Linked DNA regions of Oryzias latipes. The protein of the gene in region 1 purifies or fractionates together with the protein of each later gene. This does not show direct contact. Links are inferred from orthologs where the notes say so. Each region holds a gene or a part of one and is shown on either strand. Other genes may lie near its edges.

Region 1 (4,116 bases):
GCAACAAATAGACTTTATTAATGACATTTTATTTACACTTTTGCAAAGACCCACTTCAATGAAAACCCTGTTGTTAGCATGTTCTTGTAGCATTTTTCTGATGAGGGAGGACATATAGAAAAAAAGTTCAGAACAAAACTGCATTTCTGATTATTTCTTTATTCAAATCGTGATGGATGAGGAGCAGAGGAAAAAACGCCGTTAGAAAAAGCTCTCAGTTCCAACCTAGAAGCTACAATGGATGAGCCAAAGTCTCCCAGCTCCAGTCCATTCTGATCATCCACTGTCAGACAAATAGATCCATGAACGTCTTTGTATTCCTCGTCTGAACTGGTAGCTTATGAAAACCGAACATTGGATAGAAACATTAAAAAATAATACCATAAATCCTTGAAAAACAAAGACGAGCAAACCGCTGCACAGTAAACTATCAATAGCAGAAAGTATCGTATACTGTGCAGTCAAGTCTGCGCAGTCGTCAAGTCTGCGCAGTCGTCAAGTCTGCGTCGTGAAGGGAGCAACTCCCTCTCAGGATGTAGAACATGACAGGGGGGCTGGAGGGTCCTGTGGGCTTCTTTTCTGCTGTTTGCTGTTAGCACAAAGTGACAACTGTTCTGATCAGCTGCGCAATGATTTGTGGGTAGATTTATGTATACAGTAATCTGAAAACATAGCTTCAGTTTTCGTTTTCCTAAAACCAAAATACTGGAAACAACTTTGCTCTGGAATGTTCATTATGGAGAAACTTCAACTGTGAGAGTCAGAATAAACGATTTGTGAATGGATTTGATTTCGAGTGTTCTATTTGCCCCCTACAGATAATTACAACAGATGAAGCAGAGAAGAGGGGCCATTTATACGACCGCCAGGGCTCCACCTACCTGTTTGACCTCGACTATGTAGAAGATGTGTACACAGTGGATGCTGCTCACCAAGGAAATATCTCCCACTTTGTCAACCACAGTGTGAGTGTCTGCAGTCACCTGATCCCCACAGGTTATCAAGACACAACCTTCAGAGTAGCTAAAGTAGTAATCGGTAGTAATCGATTGTGGGGCAGAAAATGAAGGTGGATCTAGAAGCAACTGAAAAGTTTTACCTAGTGTTTATCAAGTATATACATTCTTCTTTACTTGTTGGATGTTGGACTGTCAGTAGGAACAGCGATCAGCTCTGATTTGATAAATGTTGTCTTTTCAGTGTAACCCTAACCTGCAGGTCTTCAATGTGTTCATTGACAACATTGATGAGAGGCTCCCCAGAATCGCTCTGTTCTCAACGCGATCTATCCGGGCAGGGGAGGAGCTTACCTTCGACTACAAGATGCAAAGTGAGTTCATGATGACTGCTCTGCACTGTTAATGCTCCTTTATTATGCCTTATGCTATGTTCGAATTCCCTCCCTAACCCCTTTAAATATAGTGCACTATAAAGTGCGTTTGCCATTTTTTAGTGCTACATTAATCTATAATTCCCAGATCCAGTGCCCTAGAAATTTCCCAGAAGTCTCTGCAAAAAACCAGTGTGCATCAATGCTCACTAGATCGGCGAATATAGACCACAATGCATTGCGTTGGAAAGATTTTTGCCTCAAAAATGTATTTAAATGTATTTTTTTAACAAACCATCAAAGTTTTTATCTTCAGAAGACAGTGGATTCATAAATAATTGTCGATGACGTCATATATGCCGTTTAGAGAAAAAAAAAAGTAAAGTAGTTAGTTATAGGGGTTAGGGCGGGAATTCAGACACAAGCTTAGTCAGCCTCAAAACATCAATCTTTAAAGAGTGTAACCCACTTTACCCAGAGTTCACTGCAATGGGCTTCGGCAAAGCCTGCAAGCCTTATGGATGGATGGATGAACAGATGGATGGATGGATGGATGATGGAAGGATAGGTGGAGGACCAGATTGATGGATGGACGGATGGATGGATGAACAGATGGATGGATGGATGGAGGACCAGATTGATGGATGGACGGATGGACGGATGAACAGATGGATGGATGATGGAAGGATGGATGGATGAACAGATGGATGGACGGATGGATGGATGAACAGATTGATGGATGAACAGATGGACGGATGGATGAACAGATGGATGGACGGATGGATGGATGAACAGATGGATGGACGGATGAACAGATGGATGGACGGATGGACGGATGAACAGATGGATGGACGGATGGATGGATGGATGGAGGACCAGATTGATGGATGGACGGATGGATGGATGAACAGATGGACGGATGGATGAACAGATGGATGGACGGATGGACGGATGAACAGATGGATGGATGATGGATGGATGGAGGACCAGATTGATGGATGGATGATGGATGGTTGAACAGATGGATGGATGGATGGATGGATGGATGGATGAACAGATGGACGGATGGATGAACAGATGGATGGACGGATGGATGGATGAACAGATGGATGGATGATGGAAGGATGGATGGAGGACCAGATTGATGGATGGACGGATGGATGGATGAACAGATGGACGGATGGATGAACAGATGGATGGACGGATGAACAGATGGATGGATGATGGATGGATGGATGGAGGACCAGATGGATGGATGGATGGATGGATGGATGAACAGATGGATGGATGGATGAAAAGATGGATGGATGAACAGATTGATGAAGCTAACCTCGTCCAGACTAGGATTTTATCATGTCAAACTATACAAACCACATGAACTTGCCGAGAAGTATGTTTTCCTTTTTGCATTTATTGAGGATGGTCATCTGCAGTTTTTTAAATTGACCACGCTCCGCCTTTTATCCAAGAGACTTTCTTAACGAAACCTTTAAGAGAACTGGTATTCCTCCTGAGGGGGGGAGTTTTTCCCAAAAATATTTTCTGCTGTTTCCTTTTGGTCCAAAAACTACAGTTCTCTATCATTCAGTCCATGCAGCACACAGGGATATGATCAGCAGGGACTGACATGTCTAACACAACATGTGTTTCAGTGTTCTCTCACTCTACAGCAGGGGTGTCAAACTCCATCGCCCAGGGGGCCAAAATCTAAAACATGAACAAGATAAACCTTTGTAAAAAAGTGTGTAGTTTTTGTTTTGAAGTACATATCGATACTTTTTAATCATAAAAAACCTCGCTGTGCTCCATGCAGAGTTTAATAGAAGGCTGAGAGACTCCACGGGACAGCGGTAGGGCGGTCGACCCATGATCATAAGATTGCAGGTTCGATTCCCGCTTTGTACGCTCATGAGTCAAAGTGTCCATGGGCAAGACACTGAACCCCACCTTGCCTGTGGTGAAAGATTGGTGCCAGTGTTGGGCAGTGGAGCCCCCACCAGTGTGTGAATGTGTGTAAATGGGGGAATGGGACTGTGACTGTAAAGCACTTTGGGCCTTGAAGAAGGTAGAAAAGCGCTATATTAGTAGACGTCATTTACCATCCTTCTTCTGCACCTTTTAGTCATTTGTGTGTATGCACTTTTACAACAAAGCTCTCAAGTCCATCAAGAAATGACAGCCATTGGCTGTGAAACTAAAGAGATGCAGATGCTGTGTTTGACTGGGGCTGTCCTTTTCTGATACTTCCAGTTGATCCAGTGGACACAGAGAGCACCAAAATGGACTCCAGTTTCAGCCTGGCTGGGCTCCCCGGCTCGCCAAAGAAGAGGGTCCGGGTTGAGTGTCGGTGTGGCTCCGAACTCTGTCGGAAGTACCTCTTCTGACTGCAGGAATTCTGTGTTGATATGCTGGAAACTGTACAGATTCCTTTCATGAATTTTTATATGCGACCGTGAGAAAGTGTCAAGATTTTAAACATGTTTTTTTATAAGCAAGAAGAAAAAGAATCAGCATTTTCCATGACTCAGAGGTGCTGAGTCAGAGCCTCACTTCACTCATTCTGACATTTACACTGTGTGACGACACCCAGAGAACCTGCCAGATGGAACATTCGCCGGAATCAAACCTCAACTTCTCTATGAATTCTTGCTGTTGATCGAGGTCATGTCAGTTTTTCTCTCTCCATCATTGTGTGAATGTCACGCCTGATGTCCCGGGGTGTGTCCTCATGGGTCCTGAAGGCCAAATATTTCAACTTTGAATCCTAACTCTTTGTCAGCCGATTA
Region 2 (4,116 bases), on another chromosome or scaffold:
TTGACTTTTAATAGAAATGGACTGAGTAAGTGTGACATCACCTATAAGAAAATGACTTGCTTCTGGTTCCAATCAAACTAAGTCAATTCAGTTGCCATTTTTTTGCAATACGGTTGTTGCCATGTTGGCACCAGAAATCGTCAGTAAGCAGTAATTGGTCCGAGTTGGTCTAAGTCCACATTTCTTTAGAAACCACTCTCTCCAATTAATAGTGTTAGAAGACCACACCCCTTCTACTGAAAGTGGGCTTGGGAGAATCTGTCAATCAAACGCATGTTAAACATGTTAATGTCATGGTTTGGGTTAACCTGACAGTTAAAAAAAAAAGGAATCAGAGCAAGAATGGTTACTCTGACAAAGAGAATGGCTGAATAATAGCTGTTTATTTTTCTAAAGAAGACTATTGAATTCCTGCTTTTTTGGGGCCAATGGTTACTACTTGCTTGGAATGTCAGGGGGGAGGGGTCACTCAGCCCAGTTGTAATAAACAGTCATCAGGTCATGGACAGCATTTCTCTTCCTCCAAACACGACGGGTTGAGTTGATGCCAAAGACCTCCGGTTTGGTCTCATCTGACCACAGAACCTTCTCCTAATCTCTCTGTAATCATGAAGGTGTTCATTGCTAAACTTCAGGCAGGACTGCACGTGTCTTCTTAAGCAGGCGGACATCGCGATGTTAAACTGTTGCGGTGTAACGTATTTCCAATGGTTTTCTTGGTAACTGTGGTTCCAGCTGCTTTGAGATCATCAAGTAAGTCCTGCCGTGTTGTTTTAGGCCGATTTCTCACCGTTCTCATGATCATGGAAACCTCACCAGGTGAGATCTGGTTTGGATCCCCAAACCTAAAGGTGGATTGATGGTCATGTTGCACCAACAGTTGTCCCTTTAACCTCCAGGTTCTTGCTGATGGTTTTGGAGTTCATTCCGGTCTTGTGCAGGTCTACAATCTTCTCCCTTAAATCCACTGAAAGCTCTTTAGTCTTTCCATGTTTGAGAGTTTGGAGTCTGACAGTAGGACTGATTCTGTGGACAGGTGTCTTTTCTACAGGTGATTAGTTCAAACAGGTTTCTTCAATTCAAGTGGCAAGTTGAACAGGAGAGTCTAACTGCTCTTTGTGAACCAGAACTCATCATGTCTGTATTTTCCTCAATGAAATGCAAATAAATTGGTGTAGATTCTTTAAAGTTGATTTCATTATTGTTTTCTCTCACTGTTCAAATGAACCTTCCATTAAGATGAAAGTCTGTCAGTTTCTTTTTAAGTACGCAAACCTACAATATCAGTAAGGGATGAAATACCGTAATTTCCGGACTACAAGCCGCTACTTTTTTCCTGCGCTTACAGCCTTGCGGCTTATTCAGTGACGCGGCTAATTTATGGATTTAATTGGCGGCAGCCATGTACGTACTTTCGAACTCAGTGAATAGTTTGAATTCTCTATCTAACACCAAGCACAAGGCATTTATATTCAACACACCTCTAAGCAGCCAAACAGCATGGAGTTGACTTCGGGTCTTAGACACTTCAGTCATGGTTCAACAAAATGAAACACGCATGCCCGGCCGCATCCCAGAATCCTTTGGGGCCATTAGACCCAACGTGCACGTGATCGCCGCTACATTATGATGAAGCTTTCAAGTTAAAAGCAATCGTTAAAAGCAGCGTGAAAAAGTCCACCGTCACCAACGGGTTTGGAAAAGTCGGTTTGCTGCGTGACGGAGAGAACAGCGCATGGAGTGAATTTACACTCCATTTACGGTTTCTAAGGAAACCGTAAAAGCGAAATTTTGCTTTGAAAAACTCACAGCCTCCGTGTGAGCTGGAGACATCTTCTCCTGCTGATTGAGCTGCGGGGCCGATGGCAGTCTGATGGCTCCCACACGTAACAACGCACCCGCCCCTCATACACAAAACGTACAGTTTTAAGTCCGATTGCTTTGCACAGAAACTATTTGCTCCTTACACCGGTGCAACGGGGACGAAGTGCTCCTCCTTGAAGCTGCCCTGGCCAGAGGTGTCGGAGTAGATAGGAAGGGGAGACAAGGAGCGCGTAATTATAATGATTATATGGTTACTGTTTGTAATTTTATGTATGATACCTAGATTGTCAATAAGTAAAAAAAAAATGAAATAAAAACACCATAACTGAGGAACTTGTGAACAGAATATAGGTCCATGCTGTTTGACAGATGTCGATACACTCAAATACGTGAGCCAGAGGCAAAGCTGGCACAACCCACAATGTGCTAATAAATTGCACTCACTCTGGGATACTGGCCTTGATCTGTCAGGACGACAATATCGCCTAACACATGCGCGGCTTGTACTCTGACGCAGCTTGTGTATGTATAAAAGCAGTCAAACACGTGAAAATGGGTGGGTGCGGCTTGTAATCGGGTGCGCTTTGTAGTCCGGAATTTACGGTACTTATTTCCTTTCCTGTAGTTCAGATGTGAACAGAGACTGAATGAAACTGACCAGGATTTTATAGCTTTCAAGGGAATGAAGAACAGATGAGAAAATGTTTTTGTCAACATGAAAAACCGTGAAAATATGAGACCTAAACAGAATACTCACTGCTCTGCAGAAGAAGCCACAGCCTGGACAGCACTGGTGCTTCACCATGCCGTTGCGGTGGTCCTCACACAGAACCAGCAGCTGAACGGAGTTGGAGGGTCGCATCATTTCGTGCTTCATCACAGCGCTTTGACAGCGGGTTAGCTGGCCATCGACGCTCTCTGTGGCCATGCACTTCCTGTCAGCGAGGATGAGAATCTCTCGACTCTTTGGGGTCTCCATACGACAGCTGCAGAGCGGCAGCTCATGCGCCTCCTCCATCACTGGAGCTGATGTGTTTGAAATAAAGAAAAACACGGAAGGAATTAAAAATACTCTAAAGATGAATTCTGTCTAAATATCGTCAAATGTAAAAACAATTCAATATCCAAACTAACGGATAAAACCCTTTTTGCATCAGTAATTATGATCTAATAAGGGCGGCAGCGGCTCAGGCGGTTGAGCAGGTCGCCCAATAATCGAAGGCTCGGCGGTTCAATCGCTGCTCCCCCCAGTCTACTGTCGTTGTGTCCTTGGGCAAGACACTTTACCCTCCCTGCCTCCAGTGTGGCTTCACTGGTGTCTGAATGTGTATGAATGCCCGGGTGATGGTGAGAGATGCCGTAGGCGCACACTGGCAGCCACGCCTCCGTCTGTCTGCCCCAGGGCAGTACTTACCATCACCCAGTATGAATGAGGAAGGAATGAATAATGGACACACTGTAAGCGCTTTGAGCGTCTGGATAAATCCAATCCATTATTATTATATTTATTATTATCTAAAACTTGTTCATCTTCAGAGATAGAAGCAGCTGCAGACAAATGCCCTGATGTTTCCACGGCTCACCTTTGCTTTCTGACGTTGTGTTTGTGCTGAAGGGCTCCAGGGGCCCGATGTGTGTGTACTCTTTGTCACCATGTGGACCAGAGGGGTGAGACACTTGAGGCTGACCCCCCGCCTCTGGGCCGTCTAAGCCAAACAGGAAACAGGAAGAAAATGAAAACACAATCAACCCAAAGAAAAATATGGAACAAAAATCAAGCAGACCTGGAGTGGGAGCAAGTTTCCTATACTTAAAGATGCGACACAGATGGAAAAATGCATGATTTTGATCAAGATCCTCGTTTCTGCTGTTCTTTAAAGGGGCTACATCATGCAAAATAAACTTTTTGAGCTATTAATTGTTTTTTTTGTATTTTCCAGCCCCTTCCAGGAAGATTCTGCGCAGCCAGCTCCGCCCCCGAGCTAACACACACACCCACTTTCTCTGAGGAGCTAGCAATGTTTGGGAAAAACACTTTTATATGCACAATGCACATGCATCTTTGCAAACGTTTGGATGTTGTTTGTTTTCCGGGGCGAGACGCAGACACGCTGCCGAGGCTGACTAGGTAGATGTCATGAAATGGGCGGCACCCACAAGGAGCGAAAGGCGGAGCCTTAGAGATCGAGTCATCTAACTCAGTGTTTTTTTCAACCTTTTTTGAGCCACGGCACATTTTAACCTTGATAAAAATCCCGCGGCACACCAGTATAAAAAGAAAAAAAAGGAGAA
Region 3 (4,116 bases), on another chromosome or scaffold:
GCTTCTGGCATGGCATCAGGAAGCTCCATCATGAAGCCACTTGGATGAGAAGTGAAATGATTTAAAGAGGAAGATTTTAAGTCCAGATGCCACGACTCAACTTCAAGATGTCACCTGGATTAATGAGAACATTCACAGACAAAGTACTACACATTTTGGGGGAGAACCTCTTAAAAGGGTGCAGAAATATGATAACACATTGGGTTTTTCTTTTTTAGTTTAAGCTCCAGAATTCAAAAGTGAAAAAGCTTTACATTAAATATCTAGTGTGGCCACAGGTTTTTTGACTAATTGGAATGAATATGTTCATGCTCAAAGACACACTCTCATGAAAATCGAATTTTTGGTGTTTTTAACATGTTCTTGTGGCATTTTTCTTATGAGGAGGACATAAATTAAGAAGATTAAGCTCAAAATTGAATTTCTGACTATTCAAATCGTTGTGAATCAGGAGCAGAAAAACTGCTTGGCGGGCTCCTTGCTCCGGGCTCCATGCCCACAGCTCAGAGTCGAAGTTCTGATGAACTACTGCTGCTCTGCAGAAACTATGTCCCAGAAAACTACACGTTTTTTTTTTTTAAGCTAAACCAGCAAAACCATAATTAAAAGACAACTGGAAACACTATTAAAATAGTTCAAAAAACGGTTTTTAATTCAGTTTTAATTACATTCTGCCTTCAAATAATTTTATATATATATGCTGGACAAAACACTGACAGACATAATTACTTGAGAACAGAACTATGCACATAGAATATCCTACAGCAAAATCTTAGTCAGGTATGACAGGGATTTAAAAACGTGCTGTTGGTTAGATGTCCGGCTTCTTGAAGTTCAGAATAAGAGTTTTCTTGATGTATAGTCATCTTACATCCTGTCTTGTGAATCCAGGAGAGGATAGCGGGCTGAAGGACCATGAACCTGAAGACTTGCGGCCCTACAGTTCATCCCATGGTCTCCACGAGTGCAAAGAGTGTGATCAGGTCTTCCCTGATGTCCAGAGGTAGTGTCACAATTTGAGCATATGGTCTATCATGCAGTTTTTCCAGTGGTTTGGTTTTTCTCACAACCACACGCTGTTCTCCTTCTGTGTTCCTTTCAGCCTGGAGGCCCACATGCTCTCCCACTCTGAAGAGAGGGAATATAAGTGTGATCAGTGTCCCAAGGCCTTCAACTGGAAATCAAACTTGATCCGACATCAGATGTCACACGACAGCGGCAAACACTACGAATGTGAAAACTGCTCAAAGGTAAAGTGAAGGCACTCGCTTGAATTGTCCTGATTATTCCAACCGGGTTATTGTAATGGATAGTAACTCCTCTGTGTGTATGGTTCCTTCCCCCAGCAGGTGTTCACAGACCCCAGCAACCTTCAAAGGCACATTCGCTCGCAGCATGTGGGGGCGCGTGCCCACGCCTGCTCTGACTGTGGCAAGACGTTTGCAACGTCTTCAGGCCTCAAGCAGCATAAGCACATCCACAGCAGTGTCAAGCCCTTCATGTGTAAGTCACTAAGACCCTACCTATGTAAGTCTCCTCAGTACATTACAATAATAATGACAATATGCTTTGACTGGCATTGATTAGCAGGAACTAATAATTTTGCAGAAGTAATTTAGGTCTTCCACAGGCTCTCCAGCACATGTCTTTTTAAGCCAGGTGACATGCAGGTGACCTTTTGCATTAAGGTCCTCAGTCACTGCTGGTTTGGTAACACCAGCAAACCTCCTGTCAGTCACCATCAACACCACTACTTACACGTTTTTCATAGATTTCACACATTTTTGCTGCGTCTAACAGACAGATCAGGTCTCTTTCCGTGGAGGGCTTTTATTTCTTTTTAATTTTTGTGCTCCACTCGAAGCTTATAAAAACATATTTATGCTTAAAAACACAGTCGTTCCCCTTTCGCCAGCTAATATGTTGGAATTATCTTCATCAAAGACCTCTCATTCCTCAATCTGTCTTTTCTGGCTCTAGCACGTTCATCATTCCTCACAAATAGCAACCACATGTAGAGCCCTGCAAATAATCCATTTGCTGTAATCAGCAGAAAACATGCAGGTTTGAAAACAGCTAATGGTTGTGTTAAAAAAGATGAAGTAATCCCAAGCAGAAAGGCTCCCTGGGTAAGATACTGTGTGGAGTGTTTGATTGTTCTTGAATGACATCTTCTGGACAGTAGGGATGTACAAAACTGGCATTTTTGTTTTGTTTTTTTGTCAATATTATCAGTGCACACGAAGTATGTATACACAACGTATGAATCATCTATGAAATGAAAACACTCAGAAATGTGTTTATAAGATTCAGTTTCCTTTTAAGGAGCAAGAGAACACACATGTTCTAGATGACAGTTTACGCTAGCTGGAATGCGTGCCTAGTTATTCTATTAATGACACTATTACATCACTGATGGTGATGATAGGAGTTTCCTTGTGGTTTTTTCAGACCCTGTGGTTATACTAAAAACATCCAATAAGGATCAATAAAAGTTGTTATTTTGTTTAAAAAAAGTGCTGACTTCAATGTAAAATGCATGTTCAGACTTTAAGCCATCAAGACTTTATTTGTTGTATTCAAAATGTCTTTTTTTTTTTGTGTTTTGCCACCTACATTCCCTGCACCTAAATACTGGCCATCAGATTAAAAAAACAAATTCCATGCTCCTCCCACTTTTTCCAGATGTTTTCAACCTGATTTTAAAGACTGCTTTGACTTCCTCATTTACTCGTTAAAGTCGGCCTTTCTGTAAGGTTGCGTTCTCTTTTGGCTTAGCCTTACTCACTTAGAATTCCTCAGGGCTGTTTATTCAAATCTGCTTCCCGAATACGTTTTCCTGGTCTTCCTTTCAATCTCTTTGAATTGACTCTCATGCACCTTATGTCTGGAAAGCATCCAAAGTATGCATGAGCTTAATCACTGGGAGAATCTAACCATTTCCTGATACCAAACATCTAACAGCAATGTGAGCAAAATCTATCACTCAGAGGTGCCTCTGACTGATCTTTTAAATGGAAAAATCAAGGTTTTAAGGCGTAAACTGGAGTGAAACCAGTCCAGAGAATTAGGGAGTGTTTGAAAGCAAGCAAAGAGGGGGTTCTTGTCAAGATGAGTGTTTTTTTGTGGGGGAAGCTGAATTGCAAACTGACATGCAAGAGGCAAACTAGAGGCTATAAAGAAAATCTGAGAAGTTGGAGCAGAAAACCGGGGAGTAAATGTACCAATCAGCTGGTAAATATTGGAAATAAGGTGTGTAATATGAACAGAATGTACATGGAGCACATTAAACTTAAAAAAAAGAAGATAAGTCAATAAATAAAGATGGAGAAGATGTTAATTCGCTTATATCTTAATAGGACTTATCTACTTTCCAATAAAGGCCCAAAGTGCTTTACAGTCACATTCCCATTCACCCATGCACGCACATGTTCACACTCTCCGCTGCCAAACACTGGCACAAACTTAAACCACCCACAGCAATGTGGGGTTCAGTGTCTTGCCCACTAACACTTTGACCCCAAACCTTCTTATAGGATTTTAACTACATTACTTTTGCACCATGTCTGGAGAATAATGTGCAGTCACAGTTGAGACATTTTGTTCAAAGAACCCCTTTCTAAATCATCCACTAGTATTACATAAAGTTGACAGATTAATGACCACGATAGATAACATTGGATGCTGGGGTTTTGTTTTTGGATCGGGTGTTGTCAATGTACATCTTCCGGGGCTAGACAAAGTGACATGCAGCTACAGAACGGTTGGCTGTGGGAAGGTCACTTAGCACAGGACGACATGGCCTCAGCCCAGGGGGGGACAAGGTGAGGGGGTTGCGCAGGCCGGCTTGAGACTTTAGAGGCCTGGAGGGGGAAGAGGGAAGAGAGGCAGCAGAGGACGTGAGCCCTGTCCCTGGGAACCGGACTGCAGGATAGGATTCATTCAACTCCACTTCCTTCTCAAACCTAAAATAGAGCCATTGTGCTGTGTGCGGCTGAGAATGTGTATATGTGTGTAGCTTGAGTCTGCATTCCTGTTCACATCCCTGTGTGTCTGTGTGTGATCCAGCTGCTTTTTGTTGTGTGAATACTTTGCAAATGTGCCTGCATGTCCATG
Region 4 (4,726 bases), on another chromosome or scaffold:
CAACAAAACAAAAGAGTTATGGGGAAAAATCAGAAACAGACGTACTAAAAAGAGAATCTTGACCAAGCTGCCATCCACTTCCTCCACCCTGCTCTTCCACCAAGTTCCTTCCCACTCCGTCTTGATTATTTGGCCGGCCTTGAGGAGCACCATCGGCCTGCTGGGATAGGCAGAGATATACTCCTCGATAAAGTCTCGACAAGAAGCATCTTCTATGTCCTCCCAAGTGTGTTTTACTGTAAACAAAAAACAAGAAAGATCTTCTTTGTTAAAAACTTCATTAAAAAATGTGCATTTAAATCACTAAAATCTGGGAAAGAGTCCCTTACAAGGTCTGCAAACAGGGTAAAGTTCAGGAAGTATCACATAGGAAGCATAGCCATCATCGAAGAAGATCAAGAACCTGCAAAACATACAGGGACAGCAATTGTTTAAATAATGACCAGCACAGGGCCTCTTTAGATTTGGGAGCACCCACCTCATGCGGTTCTTGTTGTTGGGCATTTCTGCTACGATTCCTGCATACAGCCACACCAGGTTGCCATCTTTGTACTTGGCAACTACTCGAGCCCCAACAAACAGACTCTCCAGAGTGGGGTTGTAGTCGAAAGCCACATGGTTTCCCGACAGCAGACTCTTGCCTTTATCAAACTTTACTTTGTATTTGTAAACCCCACCTCCTGATTTTAGACAGAAGCACCAGAGACAAAAGAAATAATTAAAAAAGGTAAAAAATACCGGAAAACCCAACAAGTGTTTACGCACTAATTTAAAGAAACTTGGAGAAAAGAACACACCAATAGGGTTGATGGCAACAAGAGTGCCTCTGTGCCAGGTCTTCGTGCGTTTCTTTCCCAGAATGTTCATCCCAATTTTGAGCTCATCTTCTTTTATGTTTGGGCTCGGCTGAGTCATTCCTTGGGATGGGGCCTGAGACACAAACACTGCTGGTGCCGAGCTTTGAATACCTGCAGGAAGAAGAGCCACAAATGAGAGCAAGTCGAGGAAGATATCAAGAAGAATTGTGATGCAGGAGCATCAGTATTTGCTCACCTGAAGGAGCAGAGAGCTGTGTTGGAGATCGAAGCAACGCAGCAGATGCTGGAGACTTGGCGACTATTTGGACCAACTTCTGAACTTGGTGGGAGGTTTTCTGCAGAACTGCAGAGGCTTCCTTTAACTGTTTTAACAACAAAAAATCAAGTAACTGTGTTTTTTTATTGCTTCACTTCATATGGATAGGGCAAAGAAAAGGCAGAACATTCAGCGTTTCCAATGTCTTCTTAATGTTTTTTATCCTAAACTGCATAAAATCTTTTCAAAATCTGGTCAAAATAAAGATACATATTACTTTTCCTTCTTCTGTGAAACATTCCATACATAAAATAAAAAATGTTTATTTAAAGATAGAACAACTTGTTTATTGCGAACATTTAATTGATCTCTTACCGCAGGGTCTTTAGAGGGGGTTAATGTCTTGTTTGGGGGAACCACTGATTGAGTAAATTAAAAACAGGAAAAGATAATAATGAGGAAACATCTTTTATCAATGTATAGTCATACTTTCTCCATGACAAATTAATATAACTTACAACAACCAACAGCAATAACGTCGTCGTCATCATCGTCGTCTATCTCTATAACTTCAGAGGGCAGGGAACCTCCTCCGCCTCCCTCATCCTCGGAGCCGCTCTCACGATAAACAAGACCATTCTTCTTACAAGCTTCCTTCACCAGCTTCTCACACTCTATTACAGACCTGCAATGAAATGAGGAGCATGGCGTCAACCATCTAGACACGGTGACACAACAAATAAATCAAAGGCAGAAGCACATTCTTACTGGTTGGCATCAGTAAGCAGCATCTCCGTCTTTGCCTCCTCTTCCTCTTTCTGCTCCACCCATTCCTTAAGCTCCGTCAGCTGAGCTTTCTTCTTCTGGACAATGTCGCTCTTTTCCACAGCTTCATCAATCCATTTCTTCAGCTCATCCAGGGATATGCCAAACTCTTCCTCCAGACTGGAGTCCCAGCCATCCACCTCCATTCTGAAGAAGAACAGTCGGTAAGAAAGAAGTTGAATAATTAAAAAAAGATTTAAAAATAAAACATTTAAATGAAAACTAAAATGTGTCCATGATCAAATAAAACTTTCTTGATCTATACAAAAAACTGTGCGAAGATTAATTGGAAATGCTTTAAAATATTAAAATGATTAATTACTATGACAAATGTGGAGACCAAAAGAGATGCTGTGACTAAATCAATAAAAGAGCAATTAAAAACAAAGACTGTGAGATTTATTTAAAAAAAACAGTCTGTAAAGCAGGGAAAGAAAACAAAATATTGGGGATAACACATCAACAAACACAACAGGCTTTCCATCAATAGCTGATAGTAAGGTCTCAAATGATCTTAGTCAATAATTTGAAAGAAAATCGTGGAACTAAATAATTTGGACCAACTACGTCACATTAAATAAATATTAAAAGCATTACAGAAAAATAATGTCTACAAATTAGGATGAATTCTTTTGTTTAGCTTTACCTTTTTAGCACAAACAGTATAACTTAAAATCAGAAAAAGGAGAAACAGAGCAAGTTTTCTTTTAAGAAAGGGCTGCAAATTAAAATCTCCACAGATTCAGTAAACGGTGCTAAAAGAGCAGCATGGTGGAGACAAGATGCTGCTGGAGCTCGATACTGGATGCATGCTAGCTGGTTAGCTTAGCATAAACGCTTCATATGAACGTAAACACCCAAGAGTGCATAAGTAGGTGGCTGTAGAACGTGCATATTTATTTCGTCTGGGGGGTGTTCTTAAGGATGCGGCTTATGTATTTTATATTAAAAAAAAAACATCTGGAAAAAGTACATACCCTTCAACGTTTTCCATTCTATGGGACGATGCTTTAAAACTAGCTTACGTTAAAGCTACGAGCTAGCTACAATAGGGAGCGCTTGACGTGGCTCCCAGGGTATCCCGACTGGGCGGTGTTAGGTGGGCTTAGTGAAGTAGAAGCAAAACATCCGACTCATTCGTTTAACAGCGTCCAAAAAGTTCTACCAAAAAATATGATTCTTGTTATTATATTTTTATATTCAGAAATTTGCAGGGGTCTGTAAAGATTTTAAGCAAATGTTAGATAGGAAGGAAAAATCAACGTCAATTCGCAATTGCCCTGGTTCTCCTCGCTCAAAATGGTCAAAACAAGCGAACACTCGATTAATTTTGTTTGGTAAATTTTAAATCTCTCATTAACCATCATTTTTAAAGACTTTATTGTGAACAAACAACATTATCAGATTAATCTACTTAATTTAAACAAGTAGTGTTTTGATGTATTAAAAATAATTCCATGGTGTAATTTCTACGTTGCTTAAAAAATGTCCGTAGACGTTTAAGGACTCTCAACTTAAGGAGCATCAGAAAGTTAGTATTGGTTAAAGTGCTTAAAAACATTGCAGTCATTTATTTATCCTAAATTATTTCTGTTAACAAAAGCAACTTTTTTTTTAACCAGACAATGATAAATATTGAACGTTGTTTTGTGCTATTTCAAATGTATTTCTGTACAGGTACCAAAGCCCCTAGTTGGTGAAGGTCACACTCACCAACTTTGGCAATGAAATAAATTATTTATTTAAAATTTCCCAAAAAAATGTCACTTTTGTGCTAAATTCTTGGAACAAAAGGAAAAAAACAATACAAAGCATCTGAAATAAAAGTTCAGTTGCTTTTACTCAGGGCTATCAAAATGTTAAATACAGATCTTGATGAATAATAATAATAATGTTTGTATCAGCCAGTATTTATGCAAATTTATCTATACATACATAGATATAAAAACACTTTATTTGTAGAAAAAATTGTTTTGTTAAAATAATTTTTCACAAATCCATCTATCCGTCTATTACCTGCTATTTCAGAATCAGAGATACTTTATTGATCCCACACGTGGGAAATTTGTTTGTCACCATAGCAACTGACAGCAGAGGGAAAAAAGACTTAGAATTAAGTAAAAAAAAAAAAGCAAGAACAAGAAAATGTAGCATAAATGTGTTGTGGGTCATAGGGATTGCTGAAGCCTATCCAGCTAGCTTTTAGGTCAAAGGAAGAGAAACCCATAGGTCAATATTGATTAACTTTATAACATAAACAATCCTAAGAAAATGTAAAACCACATCACTTAAGCACACGTGAAACCCCACCGCATATACTTGCATGATAGTGATCAACAACTATTCCACCAAAATTCAAAAATGTAGAAATTGTCCAAAGAATTTGCGTTTCCAATTTTATTTTCTGATCATCCGTCATACACAGGGGATCCATGTCATGATTCCTCAGTTTCCTCTTCTAGGAATGTTGAAGGAGAAACTTCGCCGTAAGGGTCCAGTACCAGCTGAGCGCAGCGGACAATCGTCACCAGCAAAAAGAAGCAGAGAAGAAAGAAGAAGAAGAGGGCAAAACCCAGATCCACATCCACGTCTGACCAGGGCACAGGAGTAACTGGAGGGTCCATGCTGACAAATCCACAAAAAACTTTCAGTTGTCCTCAAATTCTTCATTTTTTATTCTCCACCACAGACAGAATGGGGCAGACAAGTGGACATGCAGAGCCTCATTTGGCACGTTAGCCCTTCTTGAATAGTTAACGAGGAGTTTGGTAACAATCATGGGGTTCCTGAGATTCCACTCTGAAGGAGACATTTCTATGAGATGACG
Region 5 (4,595 bases), on another chromosome or scaffold:
TTCTGCCATTTCCTGTGTGAGCACATTGCTACATATCTGTTTACTTCAGGATAAAAAAAATACTCCCAAGTTTTCCACTTGATTTATTTAAACTTACATTTCAAAAACCTTTTCCATTTTTTTAAATGAAATTCTACCTCAGGTTTATTTTTTTTTCCTAATCCCTTTTTGACTAATTTGAAAGGTTTGGTGAACTTAAGTGTACTTGTATAATAAAATATTCATTATTACTGTGACCCCAAACAGATAAGCTGTCCAGTTACTTAAAAAATCTATCAGCAAGGCAAGATGTAACCCTTTAAATATTTGTCATTATGCAAAGGGATTGCTATGAAAACTATGGGTTCACAGCTTTACAAAGTCAGCCAAGTGTGTGAAATAATTGTGGAGTGCATGAAGTGACATTTTTCTTTTCCTGGTTTAGCTTAAAGTTTACTTTTCTGTCTCTAAGTTTCGCAAATGTGTGTCTTTCTTGTTTTTTGATTGTTTGCTTGTTGATTGCTGATAGTATGGTTTTTCTTGAAGAATTTAGGCGCTTTTGGGGGATTTGTTTACTCTGAATAAAAAAAGAAAGTGGCATTCTTGTTGTTTTTTCTGATAAATATAAGATTATTGTTCACATTTTATGTGTACCTTTAAGTCTAAGCATTTTTTAAAGTGGGGTGAATGTCTTTCTCCTAACTTAAGTACTTTGCTAGTGCTTTAAGTTTTTATTATTATTATTAATCCAAGTACAACTCAAATCACACCATTTGGCCAGTGCTGTAGTTATTTGGTATTGTCAAAAATGGTAAAGAAGACATTTTGACAAAATTACAATTTTTCTAGCAGAGAATTTTTTACTAACTCGGTTCACTTGGTGTAGAAGATATTGTTCACTATTGCAAATAAAAATAAAAAAATAGAAACATTTGGATTGCAAAAGTGTAGACTGAAGCACAGATCATTTTATTTCGCCTTCACACTTATAGCAAAGGTATTGCTTTAGTGTAACTAAATTTAACAGACAACCTTATATTTATCAAGTAAAGATTACTGAAAATGAATCACTTTACATTTGATAATCACATTGAGACAGTAAATAATTTTCACAGCTTTAAACACTGATACTTAATTTTTTTCACACTCAATCAATACAACTGCACTGACACAATATTGTTTTGTGTATTTGTTATTTTATTTAGGGCTTTATTATTAGGATTCTATGCACCCAAATTCTGTAGATCATTCTATAGCAGGTAAGTTGGTTTGCATAAAATAAACATTTTTTGTAGTATTCTTTAGTAACACGAGTTTATTTTAGCTCAGAAGTCATTTGTAAGCGTCAATATCAAAAAAACTCAAGACATACAGAATATTTAAAACACAAAAACAACTATAAGCTGTTCCTTTATTAGTGAAAACGATAGAAATGTGTCAATGTTTTAAACATGCTGCAAAGCTTTACTCGTGTATTCTCATTTTTCATTTAAAATGAAAAAACATATTTTAAAGATTGTGAGATAAACCGTTATATAAACTGAGAAAAAATAAATGACGTAAAAATAAACTAACAGGACACCGTAGAGTCACAAGTGCTCTAAAGCAAATTGTTTCCTTACGGGCTTCCGTAGCCTACTCGCCTTTTGCGTTTGGCGCGCACCCTCCTTTCTTCATCTGTACATAAAGACAGGCAGTGACCGCGTGGTTGAATAAGTCGTCACCGAGGTCATTTTCTAGGCTTTACAAGGTATGTAAGCTACGTTTACCGGTATTAAATGCTGCATCTCATCTCTTTGTTTTTGAACTTTTTTTCTTAAATAACTAAGACGTAAGGAGTAATTTAAGCTAACTTCTTCATCATAGAAATGAATGCAATGAACCGAACAGAATTTGTATTTGACTCTTCACAGCTCAAGCTTTTTAAGTTTATCAAGCCCGAGTGTTGTATGAATAGTATACTTTTAGTTTTAGACTGTTGATTGTCTCGTTTTGCTATTGCTATTAACTTAACACTAGCACGAACAATCTTTCGTTTTTTTGTTGGGTGTCGATATTGCTGTATTGTTGTAATTATTTGAGGCGTTAAGGTAAGATCTAAAGAAAACACGTTTTTGTAGCATGTTGATGTTCCTTTTTAGTAAAAAGATATAAACAATGGTACCATGGCCTCAAACTGTTTTGGCTACGTTAGCATGTTGGCTAACCCAAAGGACGCTAGTACCATTTACGGAAAACTTGCGGAGTGAACGTGGCCGAGTCGCGTCCGTCGTAAAAAGTTGGAAAAACTAAACACACACATGCTGTACACCTTTATATTTACGGTACAAGCCTTTCTGCTAAATGTGGGTCCTACAGGTGAAGTGGAAAAGGGCAGTTGCGTGATACATCGGCAATTGACTCTCCTTCCTCTTGGTTTTAGAGGCCAGAATGGGCAAGAAGCAGAATACAAAGAGTAAGAAGGACTCACAGGACACGCAGGAAGAGCCAGAAGAATTTGTTGTGGAAAAAGTACTCGACCAGCGTCTCGTCAATGGGAAAGTAGAGTTCTACTTGAAGTGGAAAGGATTTACAGAGTGAGTTAACTGGAGCCTCTCCAGCTAGTTCTTTAGAATGGGGAAGGGGGGTTGGCCTGTTTACTCTGTTACCACATTTTTATGTGGTTAAGGAATCAGACATTTACAATAGATTAGCATGAGCCTTAGATCCAATTTTAAAGTTTTTGTACATTTATACTATGATTCTTAATTTGACCCCTCCCCCTCCTTTAACTTGAGCTTTCATTTAGCTAAAATTAGCCAAATTTTTGGCCTCGATTTTCCTTCTGGCTTATGGGTATACAAAATGGGCTGAATACTTCAGGAAAAGAACAAGACAATTGGCTCGAATGTGGCAAGCATCTGCCCTTTTTCTTTGTTTTCCACTCACGCTGTAACTACCCATATAACGTAAACCAAAATTACAAATAGTTCATTTACATGCAAGAAGACACCAGATTATATGCTTTAGACAATTTTCTCATAACTTGACCAGTCTTGTTATTTTTTAAAGAACACCAGATTGCCCTGATCACTTGATAACCCAGATCATTTGGATCTGATTGGTTTCAGATTGTTCTGAACATGTAGTAAAGTCATTTTTGCATGAAGCTGCTAGTGTTCTCCGCATCCTGTTAGCTTTACATTTTTTTTAAAAGTCATGATTTATATGCAATTGATCACAGCCCTCTTAACTATTTAGTGCTGACAACACCTGGGAGCCGGAGGAGAACCTGGACTGTCCTGAGCTGATTTCTGCATTTTTGGAATCACAAAAGAATATTAAGGAGAAGCCTGCTGCTGTTAAAAGGAAAGCCTCCACAGATGAGCCAGAGACAGAGCCCAAGAAGAAAGACATGGTATGTCACAATGTCATTGCAGTACTTTGAGCTCAGTTCTAATTAGTCATTCTTCCATTTTAAAACTGTTTTCTGAATGTTCATGTGCTTCCACTTTAGGCTGAGAAACCACGTGGCTTTGCCAGAAACCTGGAGCCAGAGCGAATTATTGGAGCAACTGACAGTAGCGGGGAGTTAATGTTTCTGATGAAATGGTACATTTTTATAGAATGTCTCTGACTGTCTACTAGACAGAACCTTTAAAAGATGTTTATGAAATGAAAAAAATTATAAGATAAACATCCCACTTTAAAATCTGGTTCATAGGATTATCATTGTAAAACTCCTCACTACACACTTTATACACTTTTCTCAGACAAACAAACATTTTCACACTTTTCTCTCTTGTTTAAACTCTCAAATAAGACAATAAGTCCAATATTTTAGAAAGCAGACAAAAATCTGGTCACAATGGAAGATGTTTGTAATGGGCAAGCTAAACGCATTTGTACAGGAGACATGGGAGGGAGGAGATGGATGACATGGTCATCAACCAATCAGGATCCAGAGGGCAATCAAAATAAACATGCAAAGATATTTATAAAAATTTGAAGCAGCGATAGATAAACCACAGCATAGGGAGGGGTTAATGTAAAACTTGTTTTAGGTGAGCAGTACAATTTGGCCCAGAATGAAAACTTCTAGTTTGAACGTTGTTCACATTTTCTCTTAACTTCATTGGTTGGTTCACAAAAGAAACATTGTGGAAAGATGTTATTTATTGTGGAATATCATATGACTAATTTTTTTAAAGTAGTTTTATGTTGAATGTTTTTTTTTTCCATTTGTGTAACGCTGTTTAATTTTTTACAGGAAAGACTCCGACGAAGCGGATTTGGTCCCGGCCCGTGAAGCCAACACTCGCTGCCCTCAGGTAGTCATATCCTTCTATGAGGAGCGACTGACGTGGCATTCCTGTCCAGAAGATGAAGCTCAGTAACTGTTGTAGTTTGTGCTGTTCTTTGCATTACCTCTGCTCCTTTCTCAGGACGTTCTGTGCTCCTGTTTCCTGCCTTATCCTTCTAGTTACATGAATTACATAGATTTTTTTTTTTTTTACGCTTGTGTGGTTTTCAATGAGCTTTAAGGTTGTATATACTGGTTCAAAGCTTTTTGAGCTGTCAAAGGTTTTGCAATGTATGATCATTGAAGTCTTCCAAAGTATCTCATATTAAGGACC

What was found.
Region 2: the proteins of suv39h1 (region 1) and histone-lysine N-methyltransferase EHMT1 purify together in Homo sapiens (co-immunoprecipitation; 3 studies listed by BioGRID and IntAct, with this or other methods). This does not show direct contact. The link is inferred for Oryzias latipes from reciprocal best matches to the Homo sapiens genes SUV39H1 and EHMT1.
Region 3: the proteins of suv39h1 (region 1) and mecom purify together in Homo sapiens (affinity purification with western blotting; 3 studies listed by BioGRID). This does not show direct contact. The link is inferred for Oryzias latipes from reciprocal best matches to the Homo sapiens genes SUV39H1 and MECOM.
Region 4: the proteins of suv39h1 (region 1) and setdb1 purify together in Homo sapiens (affinity purification with mass spectrometry; 3 studies listed by BioGRID and IntAct, counting the BioPlex papers as one, with this or other methods). This does not show direct contact. The link is inferred for Oryzias latipes from reciprocal best matches to the Homo sapiens genes SUV39H1 and SETDB1.
Region 5: the proteins of suv39h1 (region 1) and chromobox protein homolog 3 purify together in Homo sapiens (affinity purification with mass spectrometry; 3 studies listed by BioGRID and IntAct, with this or other methods). This does not show direct contact. The link is inferred for Oryzias latipes from reciprocal best matches to the Homo sapiens genes SUV39H1 and CBX3.

The regions. Positions count from the first base shown.
Region 1 is NC_019865.2:30,912,214-30,916,329, reverse strand, and holds part of suv39h1 (histone-lysine N-methyltransferase SUV39H1), read left to right. Parts: intron 1-818; coding exon 819-965; intron 966-1,200; coding exon 1,201-1,330; intron 1,331-3,580; coding exon 3,581-3,714; 3' UTR 3,715-4,116. UniProt on the Homo sapiens protein: Histone methyltransferase that specifically trimethylates 'Lys-9' of histone H3 using monomethylated H3 'Lys-9' as substrate. Also weakly methylates histone H1 (in vitro).
Region 2 is NC_019870.2:25,911,189-25,915,304, reverse strand, and holds part of histone-lysine N-methyltransferase EHMT1, read right to left. Parts: intron 3,531-4,116; coding exon 3,408-3,530; intron 2,851-3,407; coding exon 2,582-2,850; intron 1-2,581. UniProt on the Homo sapiens protein: Histone methyltransferase that specifically mono- and dimethylates 'Lys-9' of histone H3 (H3K9me1 and H3K9me2, respectively) in euchromatin.
Region 3 is NC_019871.2:23,081,073-23,085,188, reverse strand, and holds part of mecom (MDS1 and EVI1 complex locus protein EVI1), read left to right. Parts: intron 1-891; coding exon 892-1,003; intron 1,004-1,102; coding exon 1,103-1,250; intron 1,251-1,346; coding exon 1,347-1,527; intron 1,528-4,116.
Region 4 is NC_019874.2:19,104,860-19,109,585, reverse strand, and holds the start of setdb1 (histone-lysine N-methyltransferase SETDB1), read right to left. Parts: upstream 2,987-4,726; 5' UTR 2,894-2,986; coding exon 2,877-2,893; intron 2,047-2,876; coding exon 1,843-2,046; intron 1,760-1,842; coding exon 1,593-1,759; intron 1,494-1,592; coding exon 1,450-1,493; intron 1,181-1,449; coding exon 1,054-1,180; intron 969-1,053; coding exon 798-968; intron 681-797; coding exon 479-680; intron 404-478; coding exon 330-403; intron 237-329; coding exon 46-236; intron 1-45. UniProt on the Homo sapiens protein: Histone methyltransferase that specifically trimethylates 'Lys-9' of histone H3. H3 'Lys-9' trimethylation represents a specific tag for epigenetic transcriptional repression by recruiting HP1 (CBX1, CBX3 and/or CBX5) proteins to methylated histones.
Region 5 is NC_019869.2:11,215,082-11,219,676, forward strand, and holds the start of chromobox protein homolog 3, read left to right. Parts: upstream 1-1,597; 5' UTR 1,598-1,729; intron 1,730-2,401; 5' UTR 2,402-2,409; coding exon 2,410-2,555; intron 2,556-3,219; coding exon 3,220-3,376; intron 3,377-3,475; coding exon 3,476-3,570; intron 3,571-4,228; coding exon 4,229-4,355; 3' UTR 4,356-4,595.